3 linked regions of the Anolis sagrei genome follow. The protein of the gene in region 2 interacts with the protein of the main gene of each other region in a pairwise test. Links are inferred from orthologs where the notes say so. Each region holds a gene or a part of one and is shown on either strand. Other genes may lie near its edges.

Region 1 (11,130 bases), on a different chromosome or scaffold from region 2:
CCTTGCAGCTTCAAAGCCTAGATGCTTCCTTCCTGGGGGAATCCTTTGTTGGGATGTGTTAGCTGGTCCACTTTGGAATTCCCTGTTTTGTGGCTACCAATATTAAAAGAACTCTAAAATTAGGACAGTAAATGAAAAACAACCCTCAGAAAATGGGAATTCCAGACAGGAAACTATCAGGGCCAGCTAACACATCCCAACAAAGGATTCCCCCAGGCAGGAAACAACCATTTTTAATCTGTACCCATCACATTTGGCCCGGCCTAGTTTTTTATTGTGTTATGGTGTACTGTTTTTACTGCTTACTGTTATTGGTTAATGTTTTGATTTGCTATTGGTGTATGTGTATTTGTTATATTGCTGTTTTATTGAGGCCTTGGCCTGTGTAAGCCGCATTGAGTCCTTCGGGAGATGCTAGCGGGATACAAATAAAGTTAATAATAATAATAATACCTCCCAACAAAGGATTCCCCCAGGCAGGAAACAGCCAGGCTTTGAAGCTGCAAAGCAATTTGATGCTAATCAAAATAGCCAGTTGCAGCATTCACACTTGTCTCCAACAGATAAGAGTTCTTTCCACGCTGGATATTATTCCACAGGTATATTAACCCCACTTGCCTAGTTTCCAACAGACCTCACAACTTAAGAGGATGCCTGCCATGAATGTGGGTGAAACGTCAGGAGAGAATGCTTCTGGAACATGGCCAGAAAACCAATGGCAAAAGATTACACATAGGAGTCCTGGGCAAATAGATGCCTATAAATGTCATAAATTTATTATTATTATTATTATTAATAATAATAATAATAATAATAATGATAATAATTAATATAAGGCATCAATGGAGGATCAGATTAACAAGAGGGCACAATGCGCGATGTGCCCACCAGAGGGAGACAAAGGATAACACACAAAAGCCCAGGGCAGATAGGGGTCCCTAAGGCTTCAATGGAGGGCCAGAGACTACCAAGAGGGTGCAATGCGCCATGTGTCCACTGAAGTGCGGCTAAGTTTAACTCATAGGACAAATGGAATCAATATGACATGTGTATTATGACACTAGCTGTACCCAGCCATGCGTTGCTGTGGTCCTTAAAAAACAGAGGAATTCCAGACATGCAACAATCTCCTCTAGGGAACACCTCCCCACAATGGTTTCCCACAAGCAGGAAGAAGCCAGGCTTTTAAGCTGCAAGGCTTTTCAAAGGTAATCAAGGTGGGCAATTGCAACATTCACACCTGGCTCAAGCAGAAAAGAGTTGTTTTCCCCACCCTGGACTTCTCACATCTCTTTAAAGAGAAGCCTCTCACAGGATGGTCAAGCATCTGGGCATCCCTTTTGGGAACATCCTTGGAGACGGAAAATTCTCTCACGTCGGAAACGACTTGTAGTTTCTCAAGGTTTGGGAGATATGTGGTTCCCATCAATGGAAATACATTTTTATTTATACAGAATGCCTGCAGGTATGTTTGGTTGTGTATATATGTGTGTGTGTATATATGTATGTGTGTGTCTGCAGGCATGTGTGTATGTTTATATATATGTTTGTATATATGTATGTATATATATATATATATGTGTGTGTGTGTGTGTGTGTGTTTATATATAAACAAACATATATATATATATATGTTTACACACACACACACACACACATATATATTTACTGAACTGACTTTGAAGGAGCTGGGGGTGGTGACGGCCAACAGGGAGCTCTGGCGTGGACTGGTCCATGAGGTCACGAAGAGTCGGAGACGACTGAACGAATGAACAACAACAATATATATGTTTGTTTGTTTGTTTGTATATATGTTTGTATGCTTATCCTAACAGTAAATAAAGAACAACATTCAAAAACAGGGGAACTCCAGACAAGAAACAATCGGGGACAGCTAATCACCTCTCAACAAAAGATTCCCCCAGACAGTATGAAGCCACACCTTGAAAACTGCTGGGTTGTTAAATGTTAATCAAGGTGGCCAATTGCAACATTCATACCTATCTCCAACAGACAAGAGTTCTTTCTCCCACCCTGGACATTATTCTACAGGTATATTAACCCCACTTGCCTAGTTTTCAACAGACTTCACAAACTCTGAGGATGCCTGCCATAGATGTGGACGAAATGTCAGGAGAGAATGCTTCCGGAATATAGCCAGACAGCTGAAAAAAACTCACAACAACCTAATAATAATAATAATAATAATAATAATAATAATAATGATCGAACTGCAAAGATTCTGGCACAAGCCAGTCAAAGTGGTCCCAGTGGTGATTAGCACACTGGGTGCAGTACCTAAAGATCTTGGCCTGTATTTAAAAACAATTGGTGCAATGGGTACCTCAAATAGACAAGAGTTCTTTCTCCCACCCTGGACATTATTCCACAGGTATATTAACCCCACTTGCCTAGTTTCCAACAGACCTCACAACCTCAGAGGATGCCTGCCATAGATGTGGGTGAAACATCAGGAGAGAATGCTTCCAGAACATGGTCAGACAGCCCAGAAAACTCTCAACAACCTAATAATAATAATAATAATAATAATAATAATAATAATAATAATAATATATCAAACTGCAAAGATTCTGGCACAAGCCAGTCAAGGTGGTGCCAGTGGTGATCGACACACTGGGTTCAGTGCCTAAAGACTTTGGCCTGCACTTAAAAACAATCGGTGCAATGGGTACCTCAAACAGACAAGTGTTCTTTCTCCCACCCTGGACATTATTCCACAGGTATATTAACCCCACTTGCCTAGTTTCCAACAGACCTCAAAACCTTTGAGGATACCTGCCATAGATGCAGGCGAAACATCAGGAGAGAATGCTTCCGGAATATGGCCAGACAGCTGAAAAAAACTCACAACAACCTAATAATAATAATAATAATGATGATTGAACTGCGAAGATTCTGGCACAAGCCAGTCAAGGTGGTGCCAGTGGTGATCGGCACACTGGGTGCAGTACCTAAAGGTCTTGGCCTGCACTTAAAAACAATCAGTGCAATAGATACCTCAAACAGACAAGAGTTCTTTCTCCCACCCTGGACATTATTTCGCAGGTATATAAACCTCACTTGCTTAGTTTCCAACAGACCTCACAACCTCAGAGGATGCCTGCCATAGATGTGGGCGAAACATCAGGAGGGAATGCTTCCGGAACATGGACAGTGAAGAAAACTCAAAGCAACCCAGTTTGAGGTTTATTGAGGCCCCTTCTACACTGCCATACAAAATCCAGATTATTTGCTTTGAACTGGGTTATATGGCAGTGTAGACTCATATAATCCAGTTCAAAGTAGATACTGTGGATGATCTGCTTTGATAATCTGGATTATGTGGCTGTGTGGAAGGGCCCTGAGAGACAACTGTGTCTGTTTTAGTTGTTTGTAAAAATGGCAACACAAATGGTAAACAATGGGGATTGTTTTAGGAAAAGTAAACAATGTTTCCAAAGACTTCCTATGGGAAAAAAGGGAAGTTTCAAAATGTTTCCTCTACAAACACCACACTTCCCACCATCCAAGTGAAGGCTTTCATACAGGGACAATTTCATCCTAGATTGTATATGTTTCCTCCACCACAGACATCCTAGTGTTCCTTTCTCTCTCCATTAGCGTGGAATTTGCATGACTCCAACCACTGCCTCTCCCTTAACCTTTCCTATTTCTATGGCACAGCAAATAGAGGAAGTGATCAACAACTGAACATACTAGAGAGGTTTGGGGAGAATTCATGATTTGTAGGAGTTGTAGGTACTGGGATGTGTAGTTCACCTGCAATCTAAGATCACTCTGAACTCTATCAATGATGGATCTGGAACTAACTTGGCACACAGAACCCCCCATGACCAACAATACATACTGGAGGTCTTTGGAGGGATTTATGGGAGTTGTAGTTCACCTACATCCAGAGCACACTATGAACCCAAACAATGATGGATCTGGACCAAACTTGGCATGCATACCCAATATGTTCAAATTTGAATAATGATGGGTTTTGAAAGGAATTGGCCTGGACATTTTGGAGTTGTGGGTACTGGGATTTATAGTTCACCTACAAACAATGAAAACACTGAATTTCACCAAAGATGGAATTGGACCAAACTTGGAACACAGAGCCGCCATGACCAGCAAAAAAATACTGGAGGTCTTTGGGGGAGATTAACCTTACTTTGGGGGAGTTGTAGTTCACCTACATCCAGAGAACACTGTGAACCCAAACACCAATGGATATGGACCCAACTTGGCACACAGGCCTGGTATGCTGACATGTGATTACTAAAGGGGTTTTGGGGAAACCGATTTTCCTTTCTGGGAGTTGTAGTTCACCCACAACTAGAAAAACTGTGACCTCCACTGATGATGGACCTGGTCCAAACTTGGCATACAAAACCCTCAGGTGGGGTTTGAGGAGGCTGACTCACCATAGTGGGAATTGTAGTTCACCCTTCAGCCAGAGAGCACACTGAAAATACTGGAGAGGTTGGGAGAGTTGTAGTTCACCCACAACCAGGGAAACAGTGACCTCCACCGATGATGGATCTGGACCAAACTTGGTGCACAGAACCCCCATAACTAACTCAACCTACTGTAGGGCTTTGAGGCAACTGACTTAACACTATGGGAGTTGTAGTTCACCCACAACCAGAGAGCACACTGAACCCCACCCATGATGCATCTAGAGCAAACTTCCCCAACATCACAAACTTGAAGTACAGATGGAGTTTTTCAGGGGGTGAACCTGGCATGATGGGAGTTGTAGTTCACCCACAACCTTATACATTTGGTACAAAAGTGGCTTTTCCAAATAACCCAAGCTTTTCACAAACTTTAAGTACAGATGGAGTTTTTCAGGGGGTGAACCTGGCATGATGGGAGTTGTAGTTCACCCACAACCTTATGCATTTGGTACAAAAGTGGCTTTTCCAAATAACTCTGGCAACACAAGCTAATATTTGTATATTGGTATACAGTTTTCCCTTTATGTTAAGTTTGTGGGAGAGACTGCTGACCATGTGATCAGATCTGGGACTATTCAGACTGAGACTCCATTTTTGAATTAGACAGTAATGTATTAGACTCAAAAGAGTGTTAGTTTGTATGACTTATTTTTTTTTTGCTCATGTAATAACACATACATATATATACACACACCCCAGATTATAATACTGACTGACCATGTGATCAGATCTGGGACTATTCAGACTGAGACTCCATTTTTGAATTAGTGTTCAGTGATGTATTAGACTCAACAGAGTGTTAGTTTGTATGACATAGTTATTTTTTTCTGCTCATATAATAACACATACATATATATACACACACCCCAGATTATAATACTGACTGACCATGTGATCAGATCTGGGACTATTCAGACTGAGACTCCATTTTTGAATTAAACAGTGTTCAGTAATTAGACTCAAAAGAGTGTTAGTTTGTATGACATAGTTATTTTTTTTGCTCATGTAATAACACATACATATATACACACACACCCCAGATTATAATACTGACTATGTGATCAGATCTGGGACTATTCAGACTGAGACTCCATTTTTGAATTAGACAGTAATGTATTAGACTCAAAAGAGTGTTAGTTTGTATGACATAGTTATTTTTTCTGCTCTTATAATAAAGCACATATATATACACACACACCAGATTATAATTCTGATTTTTAACCTTTAAAAAAAAAATCTTACTTCTATATGACCTTCCCGGGATTCGAACTCGGTACCTTAGGAAAGAACGTCATTTCCCCGGCTTTCCCTGGAAGCTTTGTGTACATGCGTGTGCGCAGGCGCAGGGGCGGTGCATCGCAGGGGACTGACTGCGCAAGCGCAGAGCCCAGGAAGGAACAAAGGCTTTTGCTGCAGCTGCTGGAAGGAGAAAGCAAGCCTGCAAAGCGAAAGCAAGCCAAGCAGGTAGGAAAGGGCCTCTGCTTTGGGGGTTTTTTTGGGATGCACAAGAGGTGCCATGGGCAGGCACACTCTCTCAGCCTCTGATCCCCTATTTAGCTTTCCCCCAGCTTGCATTCCTCATGGATTTGCTGCAGAGATTTGCAAGAAATGCTGCAATCAGCTCTTTTATGTAATTCTGCATACAAGTCTGCCTTTGTCCTCAAATGCCTGGGATCTGTATTTTCATTTTAGGATTTCCTCTCCCCCAAATCTGATTTTGGAATCTATCCATGCAGATTAGGAGACACAGGGTGCATCTACACTGTCCAGTTAATGCAGTTTGATACCACTTTAGCTGCTATAGCTGGATGCTATGGGACCCTAGGAGTTGTGGTTTTGCAAGGCCATCTGCCAAAGGGGGGCTGGTCCTTGACCAGATGATGATGATGATTATTATTATTACTATTATTATTACTATATTATTATTATTACACCATCACCCTTCTCTGCCAAAGGGAGCTGGTCCTTCACCAGATTATTATTATTATTATTATTATTATTATTATTATTATTATTAGGCAATCACCCTTCTCTGCCAAAGTGGGCTGGGCCTTCACCAGATGATGATGATGATGATGATGATGATTAGGCCATCAACCATTCTCTGCTAAAGGGGGCTGGGCCTTCACCAGATTATTATTATTATTATTATTATTATTATTATACTATTATTATTACTATATTATTATTGAGCCCCCGGTGGCGCAGTGGGTTAAAGCACTGAGCTGCTGAGCTTGTTGAGTGAAAGGTCGCAGGTTCGATTCCGGGGAGCGGCGTGAGCTTCCGCTGTCAGCCCTAGCTTCTGCCAACCTAGCAGTTCGAAAACATGCAAATGTGAGTAGATCAATAGGTACCGCTCCATGCAGTCATGCCAGCCACATGACCTTGGAGGTGTCTACGGACAACGCTGGCTCTTCGGCTTAGAAATGGAGATGAGCACCACACCCCAGAGTCAGACATGACTGGACTTAATGTCAGGGGACTACCTTTACCTTTACTATATTATTATTATTATTATTATTATTATTATTATTATTATTATGCCATCACCCTTCTCTACCAAAGGGAGCTGGTCCTTTGCCAGATTATTATTATTATTATTATTATTATTATATTAAAACTATTACTATTTTTATTACTATTTATTATTACGCCATCACCCTTCTCTGCCAAAGGGGGTTAGTCCTTCACCACATTTTTATTATTATTATACTATTATTATTCTTACTATATTATTATTATTATTATTATTATTATTATTAGGCCTCCAGCCTTCTTGGTTAAAAAGGGCTAGTCCTTCACCAGATTATTATCATCATCATCATCATCATCATCATCACACCATCACCCATCTCTGCCAAAGAGGGCTGGTCCTTCACCAGATTATTATTATTATTATCATTATCATTATTGTATTATTATTAGTAGTAGTATTGTTATTAGTAGTATTGTTATTATTGTTGTCATTATGCCATTACCCTTCTGATGGCATAATAGTGTCTTTGGAGGCTTTTAAACAGAAGCTGGATGACCATCTGTTGGGGGTGCTTTGAGTGCGATTTTCCTGCTTCTTGGCAGGAGGTTGGACTGGATGGCCCATGAGGTCTCTTCCAACTCTATGATTCTATGATTCTCTGCCAAAGAGGGCTGGTCCTTCACCAGATTATTATTATTATTACTACTACTACTACTACTATTACTCTTATTATTATTATTGCTATTACTACTGTATTATTCTTATTACACCATCACCATTCTCTGCCAAAGAGGGCTGGCCCTCTTCACCAAACTACAACTTTTTGACCGAGAAAGCTTTGGAGAGTTGTAGTTTGGTGAAGGGCTAGACCTCATTATTATTAATATTATTATTATTATTATTATTATTATTAGGCCATCACTCTTCTCTGCCAAAGAAGTCTTGGTGCTTCACCAGATTATTATTATTATTATTATTATTATTATTATTATTATTATTATTTTACTAGTATGTTATGTATTATTACATTATTATTATTATTATTATTATTATTATTATTATTATTATTATTATTATTAGGCCATCACCTTTCTCTGCCAAAGAGAGCTGGTCATTCATCAGATTAAATAATTTTATTTTTGATTATTAGATTGACTCTGAACAGTCAGCTGGCTGCAGCCATCACTGGGTCTTTCTGATGCTGAGCATTGCATTTTGGGAAATGTAGTTTGGGGCAGGGTTTTCTTGCATTCTCTGCTACTGGGGGCCTCGCCTTTCCAAACTACATTTTTAAGCTTGCTGTGTTCTCAGTCTGCTGTCGACCTTTGCAGCCTGAAAGACAAGTAGGAAATTTAGGTATCGCTTATGCAGGAAGGCTAATTTAACTAATTTACGATGCCATAAAACTCTCCAGCAGCATGTAAAAGAATGAGGAAGTATTCAAACGGTGTCACAAGTGCATGGTGAAGCGACAGCTCCCCTGGTGGCCAGAATTCAAAAAGCTGGAAAGTTAAATAGCCTCTGTGTGTCTATATATGTTGTGTGTCGATGGCATTGAATGTTTGCCATGTATATGTGCATTGTGATCCGCCTTGAGTCCCCTGTGGGGTGAGAAGGGCAGAATATAAATACTGTAAATATTAAATAAATAAAGTTTGAACTTGAGAAAAGTCACATCCAAGAAATAAATTGATGAAACGAGGGTTATCTACTAAGGTTGGATGGCAATTTTGTTGGGAATATTTGCATGATGTCTTCCTGAATTGTCCTCGAGGAACCTTGGGGTCTTCTCCAACTCTAGAATCCTATAGAGGCTGAATGTCAGCACTGAGAGATCAATCTCTTCTCTTTCTCTCTTCCTATTCAGGACTAAAGTTTGGAATAAATGCAACCAGCCTACCCATGGCAACCATGGCTGCTGCTCCGCAACTCAACTCAGACGCTCTACGTGAAGTCTTGGAGTGCCCTATTTGCATGGAGTGCTTTACCGAGGAACACCTGAGGCCGAAGCTGCTGCACTGCGGGCACACCATCTGCAGACAGTGCTCTGAGAAGCTCCTGGCCAACAGCATCAACGGGATCCGCTGCCCGTTCTGTAGCAAAGTCACGCGCATCACGAACCTGGCCCAGCTCAATGACAACCTGACCGTGCTGAAGATCATCGACACGGCGGGCCTTGGCGAGACTGTGGGCCTCCTAATGTGCAAGGCGTGTGGGCGCCGACTACCCAAGCACTTCTGTAAGAGCTGCGGCTTGGTCCTCTGCGAGCCTTGTAAGGAGGCCGACCACACGCAGCAGGGTCACGCCGTGGTGGTCATCAAAGAGGCCGCCGACGAGCGGAGAAGGGAGTTCGGAGCCAAGCTTGGCCGCTTGCGGGAGCTGATGGGAGACCTTCAGAAACGGAAGACCTCCTTGGAAGGGGTTTCGAAGGACCTCCAAGTCAGGTACAAAGCGGTCCTGCAGGAGTACGGCAAAGAAGAGCGCAAGGTCCAAGAGGAGTTGGCACGTTCTCGTAAGTTCTTCACGAACTCCCTCTCGGAGGTGGAGAAGGTCAATAGCCAGATCATGGAGGAGCAAGCCTACCTGCTGAACATCGCCGAGGTGCAGATCGTGTCTCGGTGCGACTACTTCCTTGCCAAAATCAAGCAGGGGGACATGGCCCTTCTTGAGGAAGGCGGGGACGAGGAGGAGCCGGAGTTGATGAACAGCCTCCCCAAAGAGCTGACCCTGCAAGACGTGGAGCTGCTGAAGGTGGGCCGCGTTGGTCCGCTTCAGATCGGACAAGTGGTGAAGAAACCGCGAAGCATCAACGTGGAGGAATCGCTAATGGAGATGGCAGCGGCGGCGGCTTCGGTGTCCTTTAGGGAGGCCGACGTGGCAGAGGAGGAAGCCAACTCTCTTCCCAGCTGCCCTTCCCCTGCCAAGCCGAGGGTGCCTGAAGCGGCCACCAGCATCCAGCAGTGCCACTTCCTCAAGAAGATGGGCTCCAAAGGAAGCACGCCTGGGACGTTTAACCTGCCAGTCAGCCTGCACGTCACCCCCCAAGGAGAAGTGCTTGTAGCCGACCGTGGAAACTTCCGTATCCAAGTCTTCACCCGCAAGGGCTTCCTGAAGGAGATTCGCCGGAGCCCTAGCGGCATCGATAGCTTCGTACTCAGCTTCTTAGGTGCGGATCTGCCCAACTTGACTCCTCTCTCGGTCACCATGAACTGTCACGGCTTGATTGGCGTCACCGACAGTTACGACAATTCGGTGAAGGTCTACACCATCGACGGGCATTGTGTGGCCTGTCACCGGAGTCAACTGAGCAAGCCATGGGGCATCACCGCTCTCCCGTCGGGACAGTTCGTCGTAACGGACGTGGAAGGGGGAAAGCTTTGGTGTTTCACCGTCGACCGTGGGGTCGGGGTGGTGAAGTACAGCTGCTTGTGCAGCGCGGTGCGGCCAAAGTTTGTGACTTGCGATGCCGAAGGGATGATCTACTTCACCCAGGGACTGGGGTTGAATCTCGAAAACCGCCAGCACGAACATCACTTGGAAGGGGGTTTTTCGATCGGCTCTGTCGGCCCGGACGGGCAGCTCGGCAGGCAAATCAGCCACTTCTTCTCTGAGAACGAGGACTTTCGATGCATCGCTGGGATGTGCGTTGACTCCCGGGGGGACTTGATTGTTGCCGACAGCAGCCGGAAAGAGATCCTGCATTTCCCCAAGGGGGGCGGCTATAATATCTTAATCCGAGAGGGACTCATCTGTCCCGTTGGCATCGCTATCACACCCAAGGGACAGCTCTTAGTCTTAGACTGTTGGGATCACTGCATTAAGATCTACAGTTACCACTTGAGGAGGTACTCCACGCCTTAGGAACGAAGAAACGGCACCCCTCTTCTAAAACTATTGCTAGATCATTGACTTTTAGTGGTTTCCTACATTTCAAGTAGACTGCGCCACAATCATTTGTGTGCCGCTGAAAACAAAAAGGCTGCCTTTGGACGCGGCCGTGTGTGTGCATGTGTTTTTTGTTTTTTTGGAGGGGGGTTAAAAATACATGTAAGTGTTCGGGAAAAAAGTATTCTAAAATATAGCAGAGCACCCAAAAACAAACAGGATACAAAAGTTGAGCATTAAATGTTGTGTGATGTGGCGGTGAAGAATTCAGAGCTTAGGATGCAAATATGCAGGATCCCATTT
Region 2 (11,427 bases):
GGGCAGGTCTCCTGGTGGAAGTATTTTCATATTTGGTGCTACTGTTGAAAAGGAACTGCTCTTCATAAGAAGACTTCAAATTTCATAAATGGAGGAGGATCATAGAGATTTTAAAAAGTGCATGCTGCCTTGCTGGCTAGGAAAATGCAGACATATACATATATGTGTGTGTGTGTATACACACACACCAAAATGTCTTTAAATAGTCATTACATCTTGGTGTACATTTTTGGAAAACCTTAAAACACTGCATCTTCAGCGGCCAATGTATTGGTTTTTTGAAAATGAGGACAGATGCATTGACTAGTACTTTAGCAACTTATTTTTTGGGGCTTTTTAGCAAGCCACTCTTTTTCAACCTAATCAGCTTTGGATTACTTTGAGATGCAGTCTTAAGTTCTTGGAAAAAATGTAACTATATTTGGGAAGAAAAAGTTGCTGTAAATACTGCTGATAAAGCATTGTAATGATAAAATTACTTTCAGTTACTGAAGTACAACCACTGTCTGAAATCTAAAAGTACAATGGTGCTAGTTTTGCTGCCAGTCCTTCACCTCTGAAATGGACAACAATTAATAACATCCTTACCATTGGGATGGAAAGGAATGGTGTTGAAATTAACTTGTGGGGGGATTTTGTTGTAATTTTCATTGTACAGCAGTGATAGTTGGAGTTCGGCTCCTAATACAGAAAAAATAAATTACATATAAGAAGTATAACACAGGTACAAACAAAACAATGTTACTTTTCTTTAGTTTACTACCATTTGTTTAGCCTGCCTTCCTCAAGTCAATTAATTGGATTGATTTGAAATAAAGAATTATCATTTTGATATACTTTAATATTAAAAACAAGCAAAAAAAAAAACACCCCAATGTTACTTTAACTTAGAAGCAAATCTTGTTGAATTTAGTGGATGCAGACTGAAGCCTTATGCAGATGTCTTCATTTCCAGTTTTGAACAGAAGGAAGGACATTAATAAACAACAACAAGAGTTTTTAGTTAATCTCGACATTTCACAACATGGACCTGAATTAATTCCTTTCAGTAGGAAATAGGCAGCTGTTATCTCTTGCACCTTTGAATTTATATCAGGCATGGGCAAACTTAGGCCCTCCAGGTGTTTTTGACTTCAACTATCACAATTCTTAACAGCTTACTGGCTGTGGGAGTTGAAGTCCAAAATACCTGGAGGGCTGAAATTTGCCCATGCCTGATTTATATGCTTGTTATTTGCCTGTTTTATTCTAGCTTGGAGACAAACCTGAGGGCTCATCCAGACAGGACCCATAACACAGGCGCGCCTACGGTTTTACCAGAGGTCTCCAAACAATGTCTCTGGTAAAACCGAATTAATTTGAGATAAAGCAGGAAAACTCTGCTTTGTCCCAGATTAATTTGATAATTAATTAGACCTGGAATTTCCTGAAAATTTCAAGGTTTTAGGAAGTGGGATTTGGGTTTTCCTCACTGTATTACAGTTATTACTGTGCTATAACGGGGACAACGTATGGGAAAGCCTGCTTCTTTTGGGTACCCGTGCGTACAGCTACACTGGAGAAAAAAGGTTACTTTAACCGGTTTTCTCCCATGGTAAATTGCTGTCTGGAAGCAGCGTGAGTAACAACTTGATTATCCATTTAAAAAAATGTGGGCCCTAATATATTTGCAGTGTTGACCTGGGACCAACCTCCCCCCATCTCTCTCCCCTCTCTCTCCGAGTTATCCTGCCATTGTGGGATAATGCTCACCCTACCTAAGACCATAGGCTTCCAGTATGTTCCAATTGTCCTATGTATGACTAAAACTCAGTTGACACCAGAACCTCTAATCCACTTTCACGGCACCGACTTCATGACCCTTCCATCAATTCCACTTTCCTCCTTTCTTTTTGTAATATAATGTATGATAAGATCCCTCAAAAGCTTGCACGCAGATGGTTTGTCCTTATAAGATAAAGCATCATCTAACTGTGGAGTTTATGACAACATAGATTGCAATATGCTCTGCAAAAACTTTATTGAAAGCATGAATGCAAGATTAATATATTTTATCCATAATTGTTTTAAGCATATCATATCACATCGTACAAAAAAAGTTGGGAAACAAGATAGCTACCTTCCCATAGGGAATCCTTCAGTCCTTCTATTTCAGCTATCCATTCCATCAAGTTGTCTCCCACGGGAGTAATAGAAATACCCTAAAGAAGAGGGAAATGGCAGTTGACTATTACACTTCTTAATACAATGACCTGAATCAGGCTTAATGGAAGTCCTTCCCCCTACTTTTGCATATGTCACAGGAAATTGTTATGTAAAAATACCACAACTATTAGCTGACACTAGCTGGGTTCTGGACCATTGGCTTGGAGTGCATCTCTACTATAGCACGGCTACAGTTTGACACCACTTAGCTGCTATGGTCCAATGCTTTGGAATCTTGGGAGTTGAAGTTTTACAAGGCCTTTACCCTTCTCTGCCAAGGAGTACATGTCTTGCTAAATTGCTAACCTCAGGATCCCATAGTATTGATCCATGGCAGTTTAAGTAGTATCAAGCAGCATTAATCCTACTGTGTAGAGCAGGCATGAACAAACACCTTCAGGTGTTTTGGACTTCAACACCCACAATTCCTAACAGTTGTAAGCAGTTAAGAATTGTGGGAGTTGAAGTCCAAAAGATCTGGAGGGCCGAAGTTTGCTCATGCCAGGGTAGAGACATTCCAAACCATTGGTTCAGAACTCAGCTAGTGTGACCAGTAGGGTTATTTTTATCTAATTATGATTGTAGTCATTGTAGGTGGAATTTCTTTAATAGCCTTGCATAATGACAAATCACCACAAACCCAGCTTTTACCTGACACACCTTCCCCCCATGAGGGATGTAGAGAGGATTTTGGCCCATGTGTGATAATGATGTTCAAGAACTTCCCAAGGCTGCAGAAAATCTCCCACAGTGCTCCACTTGCTGGGAGGCATGGGGAAGTTGCCACCCCACGCCCCACATTGCCTGTCAGCTGAAACCATGGGGGAAGCATGGTGCATGTGTGCAGTGTGCAGCTTTCCCCCCTTAAAGTCAACAGCAACAGGTGAAGTCTCCTGTGTTGCCATGGTGGTGACATGTGCTGGCTCCAACCACCTTCACCCATGGAAATGCCAGCTGGCTTCATGGGGTGATTGGGGCTAAATTGGCACATGCCACTGATTTCAGCCCTGTGTGATGAGGTCCTAGTGAACTGTAACTTACTACAATATAACCCCCATATGCATGGGTTTGATATTCATGGTTTCACTCATCTATCCCTCGCCCCAGGCCTCTCTAGGTCCTTCAGTGCAATTCTGTAGTATGACTCCTGTCTAAATAAGTGGGCTGGAGTTTGGTACACGGACCCCTGCTTATCATTAATATAAAGTATGGCAATCTTATGATCAAATATGGAAAGAAAGAATGCTGCATCCCAAGCACTAACTTTTTCATTAGCAGTTTTTATAGTGAGAAGAGACAAGTTCCTAGTAAACCTATGTAGCAAATTGTTTCTCCTACCCCTTGGAGGGCGGAGTGTCAGTCATTTAACTCAAATCATTTAAGAAGGGTGAGGCTTTCTCTTTTGTTTATCTAAAAAGTTTAAATAAAACCTCTCTATCCAGCCAGGGGATTGTTCCAGCCATTCTAGATTTATAGGACAAGAGAGAGAATGAAAGTGCAGCTCTATTATACTAATACTCAGGACAACCACTCCAGTTTCAGTATCCCTTATCTGAAATGTCTGAGACCAGAAATATTCCATATTTCAGATTTGTAGTGAATTTTAGAATGCTTGCATATACACAATGGGATATCTCGGGGATGGGACCCAAATCTAAACATAATGTTCATTTATCTTTCATATAATCTTACACATATAATCTGAAAGTAATTTTATACTCAATATTTGTGGAGGAATCAAACTTTCTGTACAGAAAGGTGTCACCATCTTAGCCAAATCTGGAGTATTTTGGATCTCAGAATTCTGGATAAGGGATACTCAGCCTATAGTAACCTTGGAATGTTGTGTGGTTAGTAGACTCAACCTATAGTAACCTTACGACTTCTGAAGATGCCAGCCACAGTTGCATGTGAAACTTCAAGAGAAAATGCTTCTAGAACATGGCCATATAGCCCAGAAACCACACAACACTCCAGTGATTCCAGCTGTGATAGCCTTCACACAATATATAGTGACCTTGTTCATTATAAACAAACTGGGTGCAACCCAATGGTACTCACAAAGATGTTAGACTCTTCATACTCCATAAACTCTTTTTCCAGCAGTAAGAAAGCTCTTGTGTGCATCATGATTGCAAAAATCTTCTTCTTGTTTGTGTTTCAGTTGTTTGAGGCCAAAGAAAATCTGGAGAATTTGTCCTAAAGACAGGTGTGAAGGTGAAATGGGGTGATAAAAGTGATTCTCTTTAAACTGGTACACCTCCTCATGTGCCAGGCAAATACAAGTAAATGGAACAATCTCTTTCCAATGCAGTCCTAGAAGAGAGGATCTGAATCCCATAAACGTTAAGCTTTAAGGTAGTTTTTGTGTCAGGGGCAGCAAAGAGATCCACTTTGATCCATTGCTTCTTCCTATACAGCCTCAGCATCCACAGGAAAGGCAAAGCGAGGAGGCTAGAATACTCAGTGTATCAAACGTAACCTAGCAACACAAAGCTGTGTACAATTTGTTTGGAATAGAACTCTCACAGCCAATTGGAACAGGTTTTCTTTTCTCCTTCTGTAGTCATCCAATTAGAAGCCACTTTTTATCCAGACATGATTACATCGGTTCTCATTTTCTGCAGAGGTCAGATTACAAGAGGGCAGGCTTTGAAAGCTAGGAGAAGTTCAGAAAAGACAATTAAACTACCCAGCCTCCCCTCTTACATCTGTCTGATTGTTTGGCTTAAGCAGCCCAGAGAGATGTGTATGGACTATCGAAGAAGTAACAGAATCATTGGGTAGGAAGGGACCACAAGAGCCATCTATTCCAACTTCTAACTTGAAATTTGGCTGGGTGGGGGGAAAACTAAGGAAGGTGATGTAATAGCAATATTCTGTCTTAAGATAAGCAGGTTGAGAAAGGTGACATGGATCCCGTGGTTCTTAGGGCCCTTCCAGACAGCCCTATATCCCAGGTTTTCTGCTTTAAACTAGATTATATGAATCCCTACTGCCAGATAATCTGGGATAAACATAAAACCTGGGATCAGAGCCTGGGATATACGGCCTGTCTGGAAGTTTTGGGAAAGGAGTATTTCCTCCCCATTTGGCTGTGATTATATCTGGACAGTTTTTCAAGAAAGTCATATAACTGCAGCATTCTACTTAGAAGATTTTATTTTATTTATTTTGTCAGGAGTGAACTGAAGGTACAGTTGTAATGTATTTAAAAACACAATCAAAGTGAAAATCTTGGCATTATACTAAATGTCCTTTGACCAGATGTTGGCCACTTGGAGTGTCTCTGGTGTTGTTGTAAAAGGGACCTTCATTGTGCATGCGGCAGGGCTCAGACTGCATTGTAATAGGTGGTCTATGGTTGCTCATCTCCACACTTGCATGTTGTGGGCTCCACTTTGTAGCCCCATTTCTTAAGGTTGGTTCTGTATTTTGTGGTGGCAGAGCGCAGTCTGTTCAGCAACTTCCAAGTTGCCCAGTCTTCTGTGTGCCCAGGAGGGAGTCTCTCGTCTCTCGTTTGGTATCAGCCATCGATTGAGGTTCTGGGTTTTAGCCTTCCACTTTGGACTCTCATTTGCTGAGGTGTTCCTGTGAGTATCTCTGCAGATCTTAGAAAGCTATTTCTTGATTTAAGGTGTTAGCGTACTGGCTGATATCCGAACAGAGGATGGGCCGGACATGTAATTGCCTTGGTCCTTTCATTATTGGCTGCTACTTCCCGGCGGATGTCAGGTGGTGCAATACCAGTTAAACAGTATAATTTATCCAGTGGTGTTGGGTGTAGACATCCTGTGATAATATGGCACATCTCATTAAGAGCCACATCCACTGTTTTAACATGGTGGGATGTGTTCCACATATTCAGCAGCAGAGTAGCAGAGCGCAAGGGCAGATGTCTTCACTGTGTCTGGTAGTGATTCCTCAGGTTGTGTCAGTCAGCTTTTGTATATTATTACTAGCACCCACTTTTTGATTGATAGTGCTTCTTGTAAGTCAGAGCACAGTCCAGGGTAACACCCAGGTATTTTTGTGTGCTGCTATGCCACAGATAATCCTCAGAGCTTTTTTAAGGCGAGCAAGAGAGAATAAATGAAAATGAATTCACACGTTTTCTTAACACTTCATATCCAAACATTCCCTATCTACTTCTCTAATCATCTCTTGGAATTCCAAAAGGAATACATCTTGTTCTGCTGGATACCTCTAACTTTAGAGGTCTCTTGTTCTTTCACTTAACCCACTTTTCTTACATACATAAAACAACATTTGTGTCAAACGAATCTGCAAGATATTTTCATTTTGTTTTTGTTTGGAGTTTCTTTCATTGGTTCATTTTTTAAATTTGTGGTATGCATTCATCTCTTCTTTGCACAGACTTTTTTGGGGGTCTATTTAAAGAAACATTACTTCCCTGAATGAATGGAAATGGACTTTGGCAATTATGGCTGGTGAGCTCCATCATCCCTTCCTCAAATACTTCAGTGCAGAATCATTCCAAAGCAATTTGATGATGGTTGGATTTCAATTACTTTTATGATCCAAATGCCCTGGAATCCTGTTGCCAGGGCATCCTGGGAAAAGCAGAAGCTGCCAAAAGCAGGTATTTGCTCTGAAGTCCAAAGAGGCATATAATCTTATAGAGCTGTTAATGGAAGCTTTGAATGGGACTATCATTCATTCACATTTGATCTATTGAACATTTGTTTCCATTTGAAAGCAAATTGGTTGGAGCGAGCCTTAACAGTTTCTGTTTGTTTCAAACTGAATGTACACCTCATAAACTTCATTTGGAGGGTTACCTGGAATCTTGCTTCTTGGAATGTGTGTTCGCTGTGTGCTTGAAGGCGCTGTCTTTAGCTGGCAAAGCCGTAGAGGGTCCTCTCCTGGCGTTTGAGGGCATAGACCTTCAAGTCCATTTATGGTGACCCCCATGGACAAGGACTGTTGTAGAGCTGTTTTTGCCAGTTTCTTCCTCTTAAATAGAGCTGGCAGCACTTGATATTCATTGGTGGCTTCTCATTCAAGTAATAACCACAGCTGGACCCTACTTAGCTTCAAAACTAGTGCTTTTAGGGATAGTTAGGTAAGGGTTTTCTTAAGATCCTTAGTGCTAAATGGAGCAGAATGATAGCTATACCTGGAAATGAAATCAGCCTGCCACTCTGTGTACTCTACAGGTGCTTTTAATAATTCTACGTCTTCCACTCCTTCAGAGATCAGTTTGGTAAATGTTTACAGTGTTACATCTGAATTTTTAATACTTGCTATTACACTGGCAATATAACTGTTCTTATGCTTTCCATATCAAAGACGAAGAAACGAGGCTGTATCATCATGTTCCATAAAAAGGCAATGTTTTTAAAAATTGTTGCCACATTGAGGAATCAAGGGTTTTGTAGGCCCACAGAGAGACTAACGTTGTGCTGAATGATGACCTTGGTTATTGAAGATCCAGCCAGGAGACAGACCTCTTCGGAAAATTAGTGGATGTGGTTTGTATGAATAAGAGCTGTATCACCAATCTCCAGCATCAATAAACCTTTCTGATACAGCTGTATTTTCCATGTTCAATAGAAGAGGAGAATTTGGCAACTATTTCCTGTTGACAGAAGAAAATATTCATAACAGATGGAAGCAGGGAGAGTATTTTATTCATTTTTGTTTTATTCGTTTTTTCTCTAGCTCTAGGCATTACATATATTATTTCTAAAGATTTTTGAAATGTTGAATTTGTTAATTGGTTCTGGCACCTTTTCTGAACATGCACATCGATAATCCTGCAAAGCTGAACAAATTGAAATACCAAAGATCTAAGGCATTCATAATTAGCATGTATAGTACTCCTTAGCATGCTCAAAGTGCCTTATATACATTAGCGTGTATTGCTCTTTCCTCCAAAGTGAGTGTATCCTTGGAAGCTCAGTATGTGAATTGTAGTTCCAGGATCAGCAAATATTCCTGATGTTGTGTGCCTTCTGTCTTATGGTGATCCTAAGACAATTGGATCATAGGATTTTCTTGGCAAGATTTGTTCAGAGAGGAATTTGCTTTTGCCTCGTTTTGAAGCTGATAGAATATGGGTTTCCACGGCCGAGCAGGGATACGAACCCTCATCTTCTGGAGTCTTAGTCCAGTATTTGAACCACTGCATTTCACCAAATCTGTACGCAAGCCACTACATTATACTACACCTTCAAGTCATTTCCAACCTATGGCCTTAAGACAAACCTATCATAGGAATTCCTTGGTAAGATTTTTAAGTGGGTTTATTTTTTTCTTACCTTTGCCAAAAGAGAGTGACTTGCCCAGTCAGTTTCCATGGCTGAGGTATTTGAATTCTGGTTTCATGTTATAGACTCAGCAAACCACACTGTCTGATAAAATCATTAAAATAAATACCATAAAATCACATTTTGATTCTTTTTTTGGGGTCAAGCACTCATCTTCCTCTATGTTTACACAAGTTCTCATGCACTTTGCAATTTTTATTTTCAGTCTTGAACTCACTGTGTGGCAGTTCTGAATTTAATGGTGACACTATGGAAAAAGGTTCTCCCTGTGTCATCATGTTTAGGTCAATAAAACTGCACTTATTTCATTCCAAATCATGTGTCTGGTCTCTGTGTTTTGTTACTGGTGTTCAATATCCCTGCTGAAATTCATTTTGTTAGTTTTGGCTTAGCTCTCCAATCTCTTATAGTCGTCTTGAATTCTGATGCAATCTCAAGGATCCCTCCTAATAGGGTGTCATTTGAATATCTGATAAGCAAACGCCCGGTGGCGCAGTGGGTTAAACCCTTGTGCTGGCAGGACTGAAGACCAACAGGTCGCAGGTTCGAATCTGGGGAGAGCGTGGATGAGCTCCCTGTCAGCTCCAGCTTCCCATGTGGGAACATGAGAGAAGCCTCCCACAAGGATGGTAAAACATCAAAACATCGGGGCGTTCCCCTGGGCAATGTCCTTGCAGACAGCCAATTCTCTCACACCAGAAGCGATTTGCAGTTTCTCAAATCGCTCCTGACATGAAAAAAAATCACCCAAGTCTTACATAAAAATGTTGAAGACTACTGGTCTCAGGACACAGTATCATGGCACCCCACAAGTCACTTCTCTCCAGGATAAGCCATTGGTAAGCACCCTCTGGGTTTGGTTGGTCAGTCAAGTATAAATCCACTTAACAGTAGCAGTTTGCTACCTCATTTGCAAAAATATTATGGGAAACCTTGTAAAAAGCTTTATTGCAATCTAAGGTATGCTAGACCCATAGTATTCCTTTCATTTACAAAGTTTCAAGCCCTATTAAAAAAGAGAGGTATGATTAATCTGCAATTACTTGTTTTTGAGAAACTCATGTTGCCTTTTAGTGAGACATTCCTAAGCTCTTACAAACTGTTTATCTCTAAAGCATTTGAATCTTTTTAAATTTCATTACCTATAATAGTTTCAAATATTACTTTTAGAGCATTTGAAAAAGGTGCAGAAATGATTTTACAATTCAAGATATTTTTCTCTCTCTCTGGTCAGAAACCATCTTAGCATCTGGTTTTGCAATCTGGAAAGTGTTTGGCAAATATATTTTTTCAGCATTATCCAATTTATGTTGAGGAGCTTTTCTTTCTTTATTATCTCCCTGTGGAATTCAATTTGTTGTTTCACCATTTTATTAACAAAGTGCATCTTGCACATGAGATATGTTTCCTATCATTGACAAACTTTCCATTGAGAAGAACAGCTAGTCTACTTACCCAGAGTATTGCCTGCAATTTACATTGTATGGAAGTGTAGTTTTCTGAACTTTCCCTATAAAGTATATGATGATGGAAAAGCCAGAAACACTGGAAGACCATATACGGTTGGATTTTCTTTGGGTTACAGAAGACTCAAAAGCAGCCATGAATCCATCTGGTTTTTAGTGCTCTTGATTTTTAACTTTGTTAGTTATGACCAGACTACCATTTTTCACAGTCAAGCACATAAAGGGCACATCTACGTAAACATATAACCCAAAGGGCAGAGAGAGAATTGGTTACATGATGCACAGAGCCGATTCAGGTTAACATGACCTTGAAATATGTTAACAAAAGTCGTGGGTTGCTTTGGTGTTTTCCTGGGATTCCAAATAAACCAAATTTGTTTCAGATTCTCAGAGTCGGTTCCGAGATCAGAACTGGATTCAACTGTTTATATGGCGATACTGTATTCCTGGGCTGGGGTGGTCCAAGGACATGGGAGATCAACTACCTTCCCTGTTCATCCATCCTACTGTTGTGTTCTGAAACTCTCCTTTAGTGATAGGTATGACATGAGCCAAGAGATAGGAGTGACAGGGAGACAGAAGGTAGGAAAGGAGAGGGTGAATCCTCCCTCCCCCCCTCTTCTTCCGCATGGCTTCAGCACCTCAGCTGACATTACATTTGTCACCAAGGGAGGGCTATCGGCCATTTTCAGGGCTGGGCTTCACAGCAGTGGAATGGCCAGACAAGCAAAGGTTAGCTATCTCTGCAGTGACCTAGGAGCTGATAGCAAGAAGTATATGGGAACCAGTCTGGAGTCTGACACTTCAGATCAGCCTGAGATATTGTGTCCATGCAGAACTGCCCTAAAGCTGATTGGACAACTTGAGTAGACCTTAAAAAAATAAGAGAAATGGTGGTGGGAATGGCCACTGATTTAACTAGTAGTGATTTTTGTCTTCAGTACTGAAGACTGGTCTTCCCCTCCAACATTTTATTGACTTATATGGAAATCGTTGATTCTTTTGGGGTGATTGGGATAGGATATTCACTTCTCTTAACTTTACGGAATTTATTTTGTAGTTTCTACAGTAGAAGGTGAAATGCTACAAAACACTTTGTAGTCCTTTAGTGTGTTTATTATTAGTTATTTAGAGCTAGGTGTTTGAATGATAATAGAATGAATGTTTTTCTTACCTAACACAGTTTCTCCTCCTTTGGCTTTTGCCATCCGTCCTCCATCCCTTTCTGTTTTTCACCAGACCCATTTCAGTGGGCATGCAAGAAACTATGGCGTTGCTGTCATCATTCTCTCTTGCAACTGCTATTCCCACAATGGCATTGATAACAGGGTGGCTCATAAGAGGTCATTTTTCTAGGGAGAATCCCTCACATCTGGAAATTGCCCAAAAATCATCACCATCTTAAAAAGCCCAGGACTTGGAGATGTTAGTTTTGGATTAGAGCTACCAGAATGCTCCAGTCA
Region 3 (11,398 bases), about 87 Mb from region 2:
CATAGCAAAAGCACAAAGCAAAGTTATAGAAAGCATGGCAGAGCCTAAACATACATTCCTGACATCTGCACTGAACCATGAAAGTCAGGGCATCCCTGTCTGTTGCCTTGACCTCAATAGAGGAAAGGACAACTAGAGATGTAACCAATAGATAATACAAATGTATTTTTTGTGAATCTACCTAGAAGTCTGGGGCGGGGAACATGTATTTCCAAATGTTGTTGGGCTATGACTCCCAACAACTCTTTTGCAGAATGCTAGGAAATACAGTCCAAAAAGATCTCAAAGGGCATATTTTGCCAACCCCTGTTCTAAATGAAAGGAAAAGTTAGCAAATAAACCAAAACAAACAAAAATACTACAAGGCCATGCTTATTGAAGTGGAAGGTCAACCCCTTTGGGGACATGATCTGCAACAGAAAGAGCCAAGTCAGCACAAGTAAGAGGCCTTTGAAACTGAACCGGCATTGATGAGATCAGGGCGAGGTTTCTTTAAGGTCAGAAACTACAGCCATGCCAAAGTATTCCATTTGTTTGCTTAATACCAGCAGAATATCAAGCTTCAGGACTGTCAAGGATTCCAACAGGAAAGTATGTTGTGGTTTCCTTAAGGTAGCCCTTCTCAAGCCAAGGAAAGCTGGTGATTCAGGATTTTCCAATGGTCTTGTTTTGTGGCAAGCATGTTAAATTTATTTTCATTGCTGTTTGACAGTTTTGTAACAGGGGTGTAACAAAATTTCATTAGAATGGTGCTATTGGTTTGTTTTTCTGCAATTGACTTTTAAAGGCACTATTGCAAGGGAGATGCAAAATTATTGCCACTGCAGACGTCGCAGCAATGTGTACCATCTCCCTTTTCAATACTGTTTCCAATGCGCATGGACCAGTGTGCCAAAGCTACTTTCCTTAGTTGGACCTGTAAAATAGGGAAATAAGTAGATTGTTTGTGTTCAAAGATAACTACTTGAAGAACCAGTTACAGATAAACAACTTTTTCTTCAGGACCTCTAGGATTCAGACAAATAGTTGATTAACCCATTATAGAAAATTCAAGTGAAGATAGATGGCAAAATTCCAATACAGTATACACTAGTGTGCTCTCAACTTGATAGTGCTTGAAGGACATTGTGTGTTGAAAGGAACACAGTGAACTAAAAAGAAATGAAGGAGCAGGTGTGAGGTGGTATAGTTCCCACCAAAGCTGCTCAAATCTAAAACATTCCCAATGAGACCGTGTATAGGCACAAAGACCAGTTTGTGTGATTCCCAAGGACTTTAAAGAAGAAATTACTTTATAACTGTTGCTAACCTTATCCCAGCCTTCAGTGACATTGTGTATACTTTCTTCTATTCTGAGGGTGGATCTAGACAGCCCCTTTATTCAGAAATTTCTGCAATAAAAATGGGACTGTCCTTTTATTGCAGAACGTTCTGGACAATCCCGAATTAATTCACCACAAACCAGGAAAACCCTGGTTTTATAAACCCAATACTTCTTTATAAACCCAATACTTTATAAACCCAATACTTTAGAAACCCAATACTTCTATATTATAAACCCAATACTTTATAAACCCAATACTTCTAGTGTCTGGACTGCAGTCCAGACACCATTCCCACAATTTTCCAGGCTAAATTAGCCCAGAAAACTGTGGGAATACCCACCCCTCCCTCAAAGTGCTTTAAAAAAAGCTTTTAAAAAATAAAAGTACTTACCGGTTTCCATAGAGCTGCAGCAGCTCTCCCAGCACATAGAAATGACGTGCCAGGAGGGGGAGGAAAATCACTCCACTCCCCCCCCCCCCCCCGCTTCTCCTGGTGTGTCATTTCTACGCACCAGGAGAGCTGCTGCAGCTATCCTATTTTATTTTTAAAGGGGTTTTTAGGATTTTTGGGAGGGGGGTAGGGTCTCCCTGAAGGACATCTGGATACCCACCCCAGAAATCACATGCTTTCTGGGGTGTGTGTGGACAAGCCCCCAGGAACCTCCACATTTTTTAAACGCAGAGGCTCCTGGGATAACGGCCTGTCTGGAAAGGCTAATTGTAAGACACACTCTACTTTCAGTATCACCAACAGGAAAAATGCTATATATGTGTGTGTTACATGCTTGATAGATGCAGGTAATACTATGGATGTAGCATATCATGATTTCAGTAATGCCTTTGACTAGGTTCCCCGTGGTCTTCTTTCAAAATAAACTAGTAAATGTGGGATAGCTAATACTACTGTTAGGTGGATTTTTAATTGATTAATTGACCAAACCCAAAGGGTGCTCACCTATTGTTCCTCTTCATCCTGGAAAGAAGTTACTAGTGGAGTGCCGCAGGGTTCAGTCCTGGACCCAGTTCTGTTCAACATCTTTATTCATGACTTTGATGAAGATTTAGAGGGCATGCTTATAAGTTTACAGATGACATCAAATTGGGAGGGATAGCTAATACTCCAGAGGACAGGATCAGATTTCAAAACGACCTAAACAAATTAGAGAGTTGGGCCAAAACTAACAAAATAAATTGCAACAAGGACAAATGTAAGATACTACACTTAGGCAGAAAAAATGAAACACAAGGATACAGGATGGGTGATGCCTGGCTTAGTGAACAACAAGTTAAACATGAGCCAACAATGTGATGCAGCAGCTTAAAAGGCCAATGGAATTTTGGGTTGCATCAAAAGGAATACAGTATCTTGATTAAGGGAAATAATGGTGGCTCTCTTTCTGCTTTGGTCAGACCTCACCTCGAATACCGTGTCAAATTGTGGGCATCACAATTTAAGAGGTATTGACAAGCTGGAACATGTCCAGAGGAGGGTGACTAAAATTATCAAAGGTCTGGAGATCATGCGCTATGAAGAGCATCTTGAAGAGGTGGGTATGTTTAACATGCAGAAGAGAAGGTTGAGAGGAGACATGATAGCCATGTTTAAATAGTTGAAAAGATACCCTAAGAAAGAGGGTGCGGGCTTGTTTTCTGATGCTCTGGAGACTAGGACTTGGAGCAATGGGTTCAAATTACAGAAAAGGAGATTACACTTAAACATTAGGAAGAACTTCCTGACTGTTAAGAGCTATTCAGCAGTGGAACTATCTGCCTCAGAGTATGGTGGAAGTTCCTCCCTTGGAAGCTTTTAAACAGAGGCTGGATGGCCATCTGTCAGGGGTACTTTGATTGTGATTTTCCTGCATGGCAACAGGTTGGACTAGATGGCCCATGTGGTTTCTTTCAACTCTATAATTCTATTATTCTGTGTGTGTCTGTGTGTGTGTATTTGTATACATTTTTAGAGATGTTTATACAGTATAGGGAAAAGTATGTCTTGGAACTGAATAAATACAGCAACTATAATATATTCCTTGGAAAATTATGTGCCAATATTTTGATCAGTGTCAGATATACAACATGATCCCCGTATCAGAAAGGAAAACATTCTTGGGCTTACTGTGAAGATGTGAAACTGGGTAATCATGAACCTTATTGAAATGAACGACTGAAATGAAAGCACACCACAGACTAGCACTAGAGGACCTAGAAAATGCCTAGAGAGGTCTTTCCATTATTTCTAGGTCCTCCACTGCAACTTGGTCAGCTTCAGGAGGAAGCATACCATAGAATCATGCTGGGAGACTTAGAAAAATGTCCAGATAGGACATTTTTTCAGACATGGCTAAGTGAACAATCATATTGTAAGAATATCCAGCACATAAATGTATTAGCCTGTCTGAAGGCACCAGATCTCATCTAATCTTGGAAGCTAAGCAGGATCAGACTTATTTTCCACACTGTGGACCTGGATGGAACAGATCATGAATGCACCAATTTTACTCAAATATTAGGAAATGATAATACCTTGCAAGAGAGCTTGGTCTTTTAAAAGGCCATAAACACCAGCATATTCTTCAACACATGGGCATCTAATTTTGTCCTGATGAGGACTGTGTGGGTAGTTCTTCTGGGTCTCCTGAACTGAATTTAATGGCAAATTTCCACAAGCTTTCTCTGTGGCAATGCTGTATGGGTGAATGTACCGTAGCTGCTTCAAGAAAACTGCGGTAAGAGCATAACTGAACCACTAGAAGGCATCATGCCCAGCACACACACATTTCCACTTCACCACAAATATGACTGCAATGCCTTGCCATAAATTTGCCAAGCTAACAGTTTGCAAAAGAAGCTTTGAGAGTGAAAAGATTTGGGAAACCAAGATTATATGCACAATATATTTACCATTATACAGCAGCATAGAGTGAGTCCATCTTTCTTCTGTGCTTTGGCAGAGAATAGAGTCTAAAACAGTCTGGAAGCTGGTTCTACTGGATGCAGCTTGTGTCTTGCCTCTTCTCTTCTAGCCGATGGAGCTTTCTTCAATGAGGCAGATAAGGTAGTAATAACAGCTTCAGGTCCAGGAAATTACAAAAAAAAAAAAAACCTGAAGTAGACTTTTGTTATGCTTCTTAATTTTGCCCATATTTCCTTGCATACTTATCTTTCCATATTTTCAAGAGGATCTTCAGAAGTTATCTCCATGCTCACCAGACAGAATTGGACAACTGCTAACTACTATGGAAATTCCTTTGCCATTCATACATCTTCCGCTTGGGCTCAGTCTGTGAACGGCAGAGTTGTTACTCTTTAGAACTGTCCTCAGCTGAATAGGAGATTTACAAATGCAGCCGGCTTTTTCGCCCCACAGAAATTGATACAGGCAGTTTGTGTCTGAAGGCACCTCCTCCTCCTACAAAGGGCAAATTCATTCTGCATTACAGGTCAGGAATACAGTGGAGGAGTCTGTCTAAGACTCTAAGGATTCTGAGAACTACTGCCTTGGCAACTGAAGTAGGGAGTAAGGAAGCCTTCCCACAAAAGAAAGATGCTCACTCAGTGTAGCAATGTGATTATCAGGAAATATGTACTATACCAGTACTCTTAGGAACAACATAAAAGAAGGAGAACAAAGTTGTTACTCTTTGAGTTTAGGACAGTAATATGTATTCAAGCCTGTCAGTAAAAAAGTGAGCAATCCAATATGTACCTTGCATATAAATAAGTAAATGTTTAAATAGTGTATAGGTTTAGACTGAATCACTAAGTCCTCCAGTGCAAGTCTGTGGTCACTTTTGCCAGACTTTGGGTTGGAGGACCCAGAAATTTATAGGGAGGAGATCTGTGTTAAAAAAACAGGTTTTTTTATTTGTGTTTGTTCCACTTTCTTGGGGGCCCTGTACCCTTTGCCCCTAACCAAGGGTAACACTACCAAGATATAAAATGCATGTAAACTATATATTATACAGATTAAAGGACAGACATAAGCAGAATATTTGCTCCATGCAAGAAATTTTAATTGATGAGGTACTTTTCCACAATGAAATAGGTTATGTTTGTAAAAAAAAAAAAATCAAAAGGTCATAATCCATACATATGAAAACATTGACTTTTTAAGCATCACTTTTAAAACTATTGTCTGTTTTTAGCATTCCTGCTGCTTAAGGCCAATACCTAATATCAAAGCTGGTTTGATTTTTATTTATTTACTTACTCGCTTACTTACTTCATTTTTACCCCGCCTTTCTCACCCTCAGGGGACTCAAGGCAGCTTACTAACTCTGCCAAAATTCAATGCCACATGGACATAACACACCCCATCAAATTATAAACAGTTAAACATATGAACAATTAAAAACAGATTAAACCCATATAAACTGCCTAGACTTGATCTCATACATAGTCATTTTCCAAAGTCCAAAGTCATTATTCAGGCTGCTGAAGTCTAATTCCATAATAACTTATTCACCAAACGCCTGCGTGCAAAGGGTTTTCCTCTCCCGCTTTCTAGTGGGACAAAAGGAGCATGAAGTTGAATTACTTTCTACAATTACTAGATTAGGTTGGCTGGGAAATTTTAACACGTTTAGTTATTTTCTGGGTACACACGTGAAAAGCATGAGAATGAGGCAGAGTGTTGTGAGTGCTAATCTTTTGCTGTGTGTTTCTCAATTGAATCTTCTTTATCAGAGTTGATAAAATTAATTTATACCCATAGGACCCTATCTGACTATACTGCTAATTGGTCTAAATCTGAGGTTATACCTGTTGAGGCAGCCTCAATCTTGCTTTCTTGCCAACAGATAATTTGCTGTTTTCCAGAAGCTATTAAATATTTCAGCATATTTTGGGGGAGATGTTCGATTAAACCGAATTTCTCCATGTTGCTTGCTGAAGTAATTTGGGTGCAGTCATTACTCAAATTATTTAGATCAAGGGTAATATGCTTAAGATATGTGACCACAGGTACTGTATATTCTTCACGTGTTTTAGTGGATATCCCTCAGATTTAGTTTCAGAAAATAAATACTGGACAGAGGGCCCAGCCATATAACCATATATATCAAGGCAGAAAATCCCACAATTTTTTTATTTGAACAGGTGATCCTTCCAGACAGGCTCCATATTCCAGGATCTGATCCCAGGTTTTCTGATTTAAACTGGATTATATGAGTCCATACTGCCAGATAATCTGGGATGAATAGAAAACCGGGGATCAGATCCTGGAGTATAGGGCCTGTCTGGAAGGGCCCTGAGTTATCTGAGTCCACACTGCCATATATTCCAGTTCAAAGCAGAAAATGTGGGATTTGATTCAGCTGTGTGGAAGGGGTTTCCTCATTCAAACTGATGCAGGTGTCAAAAAGTGAATACAATCCCCTATTTTTAAAATTCAAAACTTCTGGTGAAAAGAGCACCGAGTTGCTTTTATGTTAATTACTGACATAAAATTCGAAGCCTGGCAGAGGAAAACAGCATATAATTTTTGGCTAATCCGGACACCAGAAAGCAGCCCTTTTCTCCAATTTTCTTCTATTGAAGTTTAAATTACCTAGCACGTTCCAGCTGTTTACAAATCCTACAATCCTGTTACTAGCTAGGACTGGCAGCCCAACACAGCTGGAAAGTCCCAGGTTGGGAAGAGCTGTTGTATAGTATCTAACAATCTATACTTTAGTTTTACTAATTTAGTTTTATTACTAAAATACCACTTTGTTCCTTTTCTTTCTGTCAATATGCATTACTAGCCAATATGAATACTGGGCACTCATTATGGATTGTTTAAGGGAGAAATTGAAACATGCCTATCAAAATACTCTTTAAATAACTTTGAAAAGTAAGTAAAAGTCAGTACAACATGTTACTGGTTGCACCAGGGACAGAAATCATGAGGCTTTCTAAATGTTGGACTGCATAGCCAATGGTGGGGAATATGATAGCCCACTTCAAAGCAATTATTATGGAATTTTCTGCCTTGATATTCTGGGTTACATGGCTGTGTGGAAGGGCCCTGAGCAGCACACCCCTGGAGTTATCATTGCTGAAAGAACTAAAGTACAAAGGTGTTGTGATTTTAATTTGCTCTAAAGTATACATCATGCTGACTCCTGTCTGAATATGTTAATCAACCATAATTATAACCAAATACTGTGGTCCTAATTCTGACATAATAAGAATATATGATAATAAAGCAAAAAACCCATCTTCCCAATGTGATAGACAAAACCAGAACACAGAAGTCAAGAGTTATGCATTAATTTTAAGTAGGCGAATTCTTAGAATAAAAAACATTAGACCACCTATAATAGTAATAGTATCTGAAATACGAACTATCAAAAAAAATCATTTAACATTTCTCTTGGTGATGCAGTTATGATGATTTATGAAGTACTTAATTATTTTCCCTTCAATCCAAAAGATCAAAATTGGATGCCAGCCAGTAGAGTTACCCACTGCAAACTACGGGCAGATCATGTTTACCATATATACAGAAGATCGTTTCTGTTTTTTACCTGCAGAGAGAACCATTATGCAGGTACAAAAACTCAGTTACGTGGTAATTATATTTAATTTTGGACTTTCACAGTACTCTCCATTCTTTCAAAAGTATGTAACAACCTAATTACTAATTTAGCTTCTTAGCCATAGGAGCCCATTGTACATCAGAGTACTATCTACAGTCTTATTTTTGTCAAGATTAATGACAGAGCTCTGTTTACAGAGCAGAGGGTTGTCTTTCAAGACAACCACTTGCCAGAATCTGCATTTCTTTATAGCATTCTGTTTCAGTTGTGTTTTCAACATAATTATCCTGAAGTGGTAGTGTGTTTCTGCCTCTTTTGTTATCCTTGAACTAGAGCCGCATGGCGGTTCCTGATCAGTCAATCGTTATACAATAATATTTATTTTCATTAATTTTGATTTATTGTATTACATCACACCATCCATGAAAAGAATTCAAAAGCATTGTACCTCAGGCTGGTTTATTCTGATACATTCATGACACAGTACATCAAGTTAGAATGCACTATAAGGGCTCCCCCAAGTCCAGCTCAAGGTACTGGTGCTTATTTGTAAAACTCTAAACAGCATGGTTCCCAATATTTCAAAAAGCATCTCTTCCCATTTGTTTTGGGGAAAGTGTATTATGCATGTCTGAAAGAAAAAATCTTTCTCTTAACTTTGAAAGTCCTCTGAAGATCCTTTTGGCACTACAGTCCTTTTCTATTATCTGATCATTTTACAGATCAGAGCTCGTGCTTAATTTATTTTTCTCAGGTATTATTTCATAATACATTATATTGTTTAACACAGTATTGAGGAGCTTTCTAACCAAGGTGAAAGAAGAAATTGTGGATTGCAGTTAAACATCAAAAAACCAAGATTATGACGACCAGACTGATGGATAACTGGCAAATAGAAGGAGAAAATGTGGAGGCAGTGACAGACTTAGTATTTCTAGGCGCAAAGATTACTGCAGACAGAGACTGCATCAAGGAAATCAGAAGACGTTTACTTCTTGGTAGGAGAGCAATGGGCAATCTCAATAAAATAGTGAAGAAACATTACACTGGCAATGAAGATCCGCATAGTTAAAGCAATGGTATTCCCCATAGTAATGTATGGGTGTGCAAGCTGGACCATAAAGAAGGCTGAGCGAAGGAAGATAGACACTTTTGAACTGTGGTGCTGGAGGAAAATTCTGAGAGTGCCTTGGACCCCAAGAAGATCCAATCAGTCCATACTTCAGGAAATAAAGCCCGACTGCTCACTGGAGGGAAGGATAGTAGAGGCAAAGATGAAGTACTTTGGCCAGATCATGAGAAGAAAGAAAAGCTTAGAGAAGACAATGATGCTGGGGAAAATGGAAGGAAAAAGGAAGAGAGGCCGGCCAAGGGCAAGATGGATGGATGGCATCCTTGAAGTGACTGGATTGACCATGAAGGAGCTGGGGGTGGTGACAGCCGACAGAGAGCTCTGTCATGGGCTGGTCCATGAGGTCACGAAGAGTCAGAAATGACTGAACAAATGAACAACTGTAATCATCTTTAATCTTTAATGAAATTGTTTTTATTTTGTGAGTCACACTGGGGACTCTGGTCAAAACAGAATGCAAAGCTATATAGACCAATCTACAAACATCATTAAAAAGTTGGTCTTCGCCCTATTGTAACAATACTGAAAGTAAAAATGGGCACAAAAAATTAACTGTCTACTTTCAGAACCATACATAGAAATTAGAAATTGATGGGAGTTGCAGTACCTTCACACACATCCAGAGACCACTGCGAGCCTCATCATTGATGGATTTGGACGAAATTTGGCACATAGATCCTCCCCCACCACTAAAACTGGAACAAAATATTTTTCACTGGGACTTTTGGGGGTTAGTTGGTTTAGAGGGGGGAAGATGAGTAGAAAGAAATTTCTCAGGGGATTGGGCTCTCCTGACATTTCACTTGCATTTATGGCAGGCATCCTCAAAGGTGGTGAGGTCTGTTGCCTAAGGATGTTTACGTATCTGTGGAATGTCCAGGGTAGGAGAAAGAACTCTTGTCTGCTTGAGGAAGGTGTGAATGTTGCAGTTGGCCACCTTGATTAGCATTTAATGGTCTTGTCGCTTCAATGCCTGACTGGTTGCTGCCTGGGGGATCCTTTGTTGGGAGGTGTTAGCTGGCCCTGATTGGATTGTCTGGGCTTCCCTGGCTTTTTGAGTCTTTACTTTCTGTCGTGATTTTAGAGGGTGTTTTTTAGTACTAGTAGCCAGATTTTGTTCATTTTTATGAATATTAGGTTTGTTACACCATTGTAAATAGCTCCCTATGCTTGTGTACTATACGAATTGAGTATTCTCATGATCAATTGAACTGATAGTTTTGCTGAAGTTTACAGCAACAGGACATAATAATAATAATAATTTTTTTAAAAACTGTATTTGTACCCCGCTACCATCTCCCCAAGGGACTCGGAGCGGCTTACATGAGGCCAAGCCCACAATACATCAATAAACAAAACATCAATAAAACAATCAATACAATACAATTCATATAAATCACATAAACAAAAAATAAGCAATAAACAATCAACAGTGACATACAAGCATTTAAAACCAATGGCCGGGCCAAATGTAATAGATTAAAATTAAAAAAATAATGCTGACGTGAACAAGGTAGGATATAACTGGGATAGGATTTTCAGAGAGAAATGAGGGCATGCAGTCAGTCCTAAATCAGTGGTAAAGTGCGTTTTGAGGGCATATTGCTGAGAGTTTTCATTATTCTGGGAAGGCACACTGGAACAACCACGTTTTCATGCTCCTCCTAAAGACTGCCAGAGTTGGGGCATATCTGATGTGCCTGGGAAGTGAGTTCCAGAGTTGGGGGGCCACCACCGAGAAGGCACTCTCCCTCGTCCCCACCAATAGCGCCTGCGAAGGAGGTGGGAGCGTGAGTCACTCTGGGGACATTTCTGTATTTACATTGTACTTATAGATATTCTGCTTTGGTTAGACCACACCTGGAATATTGTGTCCAATTCTGGGCACAATTCAAGAGAGATATTGACAAGCTGGAATGTGTACAGAGGAGGGCGACTAAAATGATCAAGGGTCTGGAGAACAAGCCCTATGAGGAGTATCTTAAGGAGCTGGGCATGTTTAGCCTGAAGAAGATGAGAGGAGATATGATAGCCATGTATAAATATGTGAGAGGAAGCCACAAGGAGGAGGGAGCAAGCTTGTTTACTGCTTCCATGGGGATTAGGACAAGAACTACAAGAAAGGAGATTTCATCTGAACATGAGGAAGAACTTCCTGACTGTGAGAGCCGTCCAGCAGTGGAACTCTCTGCCCTGGAGTGTGGTGGAGGCTCCTTCTTTGGAAGCTTTTAAACAAAGGCTGGATGGCTATCTGTTAGGGGTGATTTGAATGCAATATTCCTGCTTCTTGGCAGGGGGTTGGACTGGATGGCCCATGAGGTCTCTTCCAACTCTTTGATTCTATGAGGTGTTAGCTGGCCCTGATTGGATTGTCTGGACTTCCCTGGCTTTTTGAGTCTTTACTTACTGTCCTGATT

Evidence for each region.
Region 1: the proteins of UBE2U (region 2) and TRIM32 interact in binary tests that used the Homo sapiens proteins (3 or more experiments, as listed by UniProt). The link is inferred for Anolis sagrei from reciprocal best matches to the Homo sapiens genes UBE2U and TRIM32.
Region 3: the proteins of UBE2U (region 2) and RNF144B interact in a two-hybrid assay, tested with the Homo sapiens proteins (2 studies listed by BioGRID and IntAct). The link is inferred for Anolis sagrei from reciprocal best matches to the Homo sapiens genes UBE2U and RNF144B.

The regions. Positions count from the first base shown.
Region 1 is NC_090031.1:11,303,731-11,314,860, forward strand, and holds the start of TRIM32 (E3 ubiquitin-protein ligase TRIM32), read left to right. Parts: upstream 1-5,827; 5' UTR 5,828-5,930; intron 5,931-8,809; 5' UTR 8,810-8,844; coding exon 8,845-10,803; 3' UTR 10,804-11,130. UniProt on the Homo sapiens protein: E3 ubiquitin ligase that plays a role in various biological processes including neural stem cell differentiation, innate immunity, inflammatory resonse and autophagy.
Region 2 is NC_090024.1:166,392,580-166,404,006, forward strand, and holds the start of UBE2U (ubiquitin-conjugating enzyme E2 U), read right to left. Parts: upstream 4,471-11,427; 5' UTR 4,336-4,470; coding exon 4,267-4,335; intron 2,202-4,266; coding exon 2,120-2,201; intron 682-2,119; coding exon 589-681; intron 1-588. UniProt on the Homo sapiens protein: Catalyzes the covalent attachment of ubiquitin to other proteins.
Region 3 is NC_090024.1:79,797,760-79,809,157, forward strand, and holds the start of RNF144B (E3 ubiquitin-protein ligase RNF144B), read right to left. Parts: upstream 4,635-11,398; 5' UTR 4,246-4,634; coding exon 4,230-4,245; intron 1-4,229.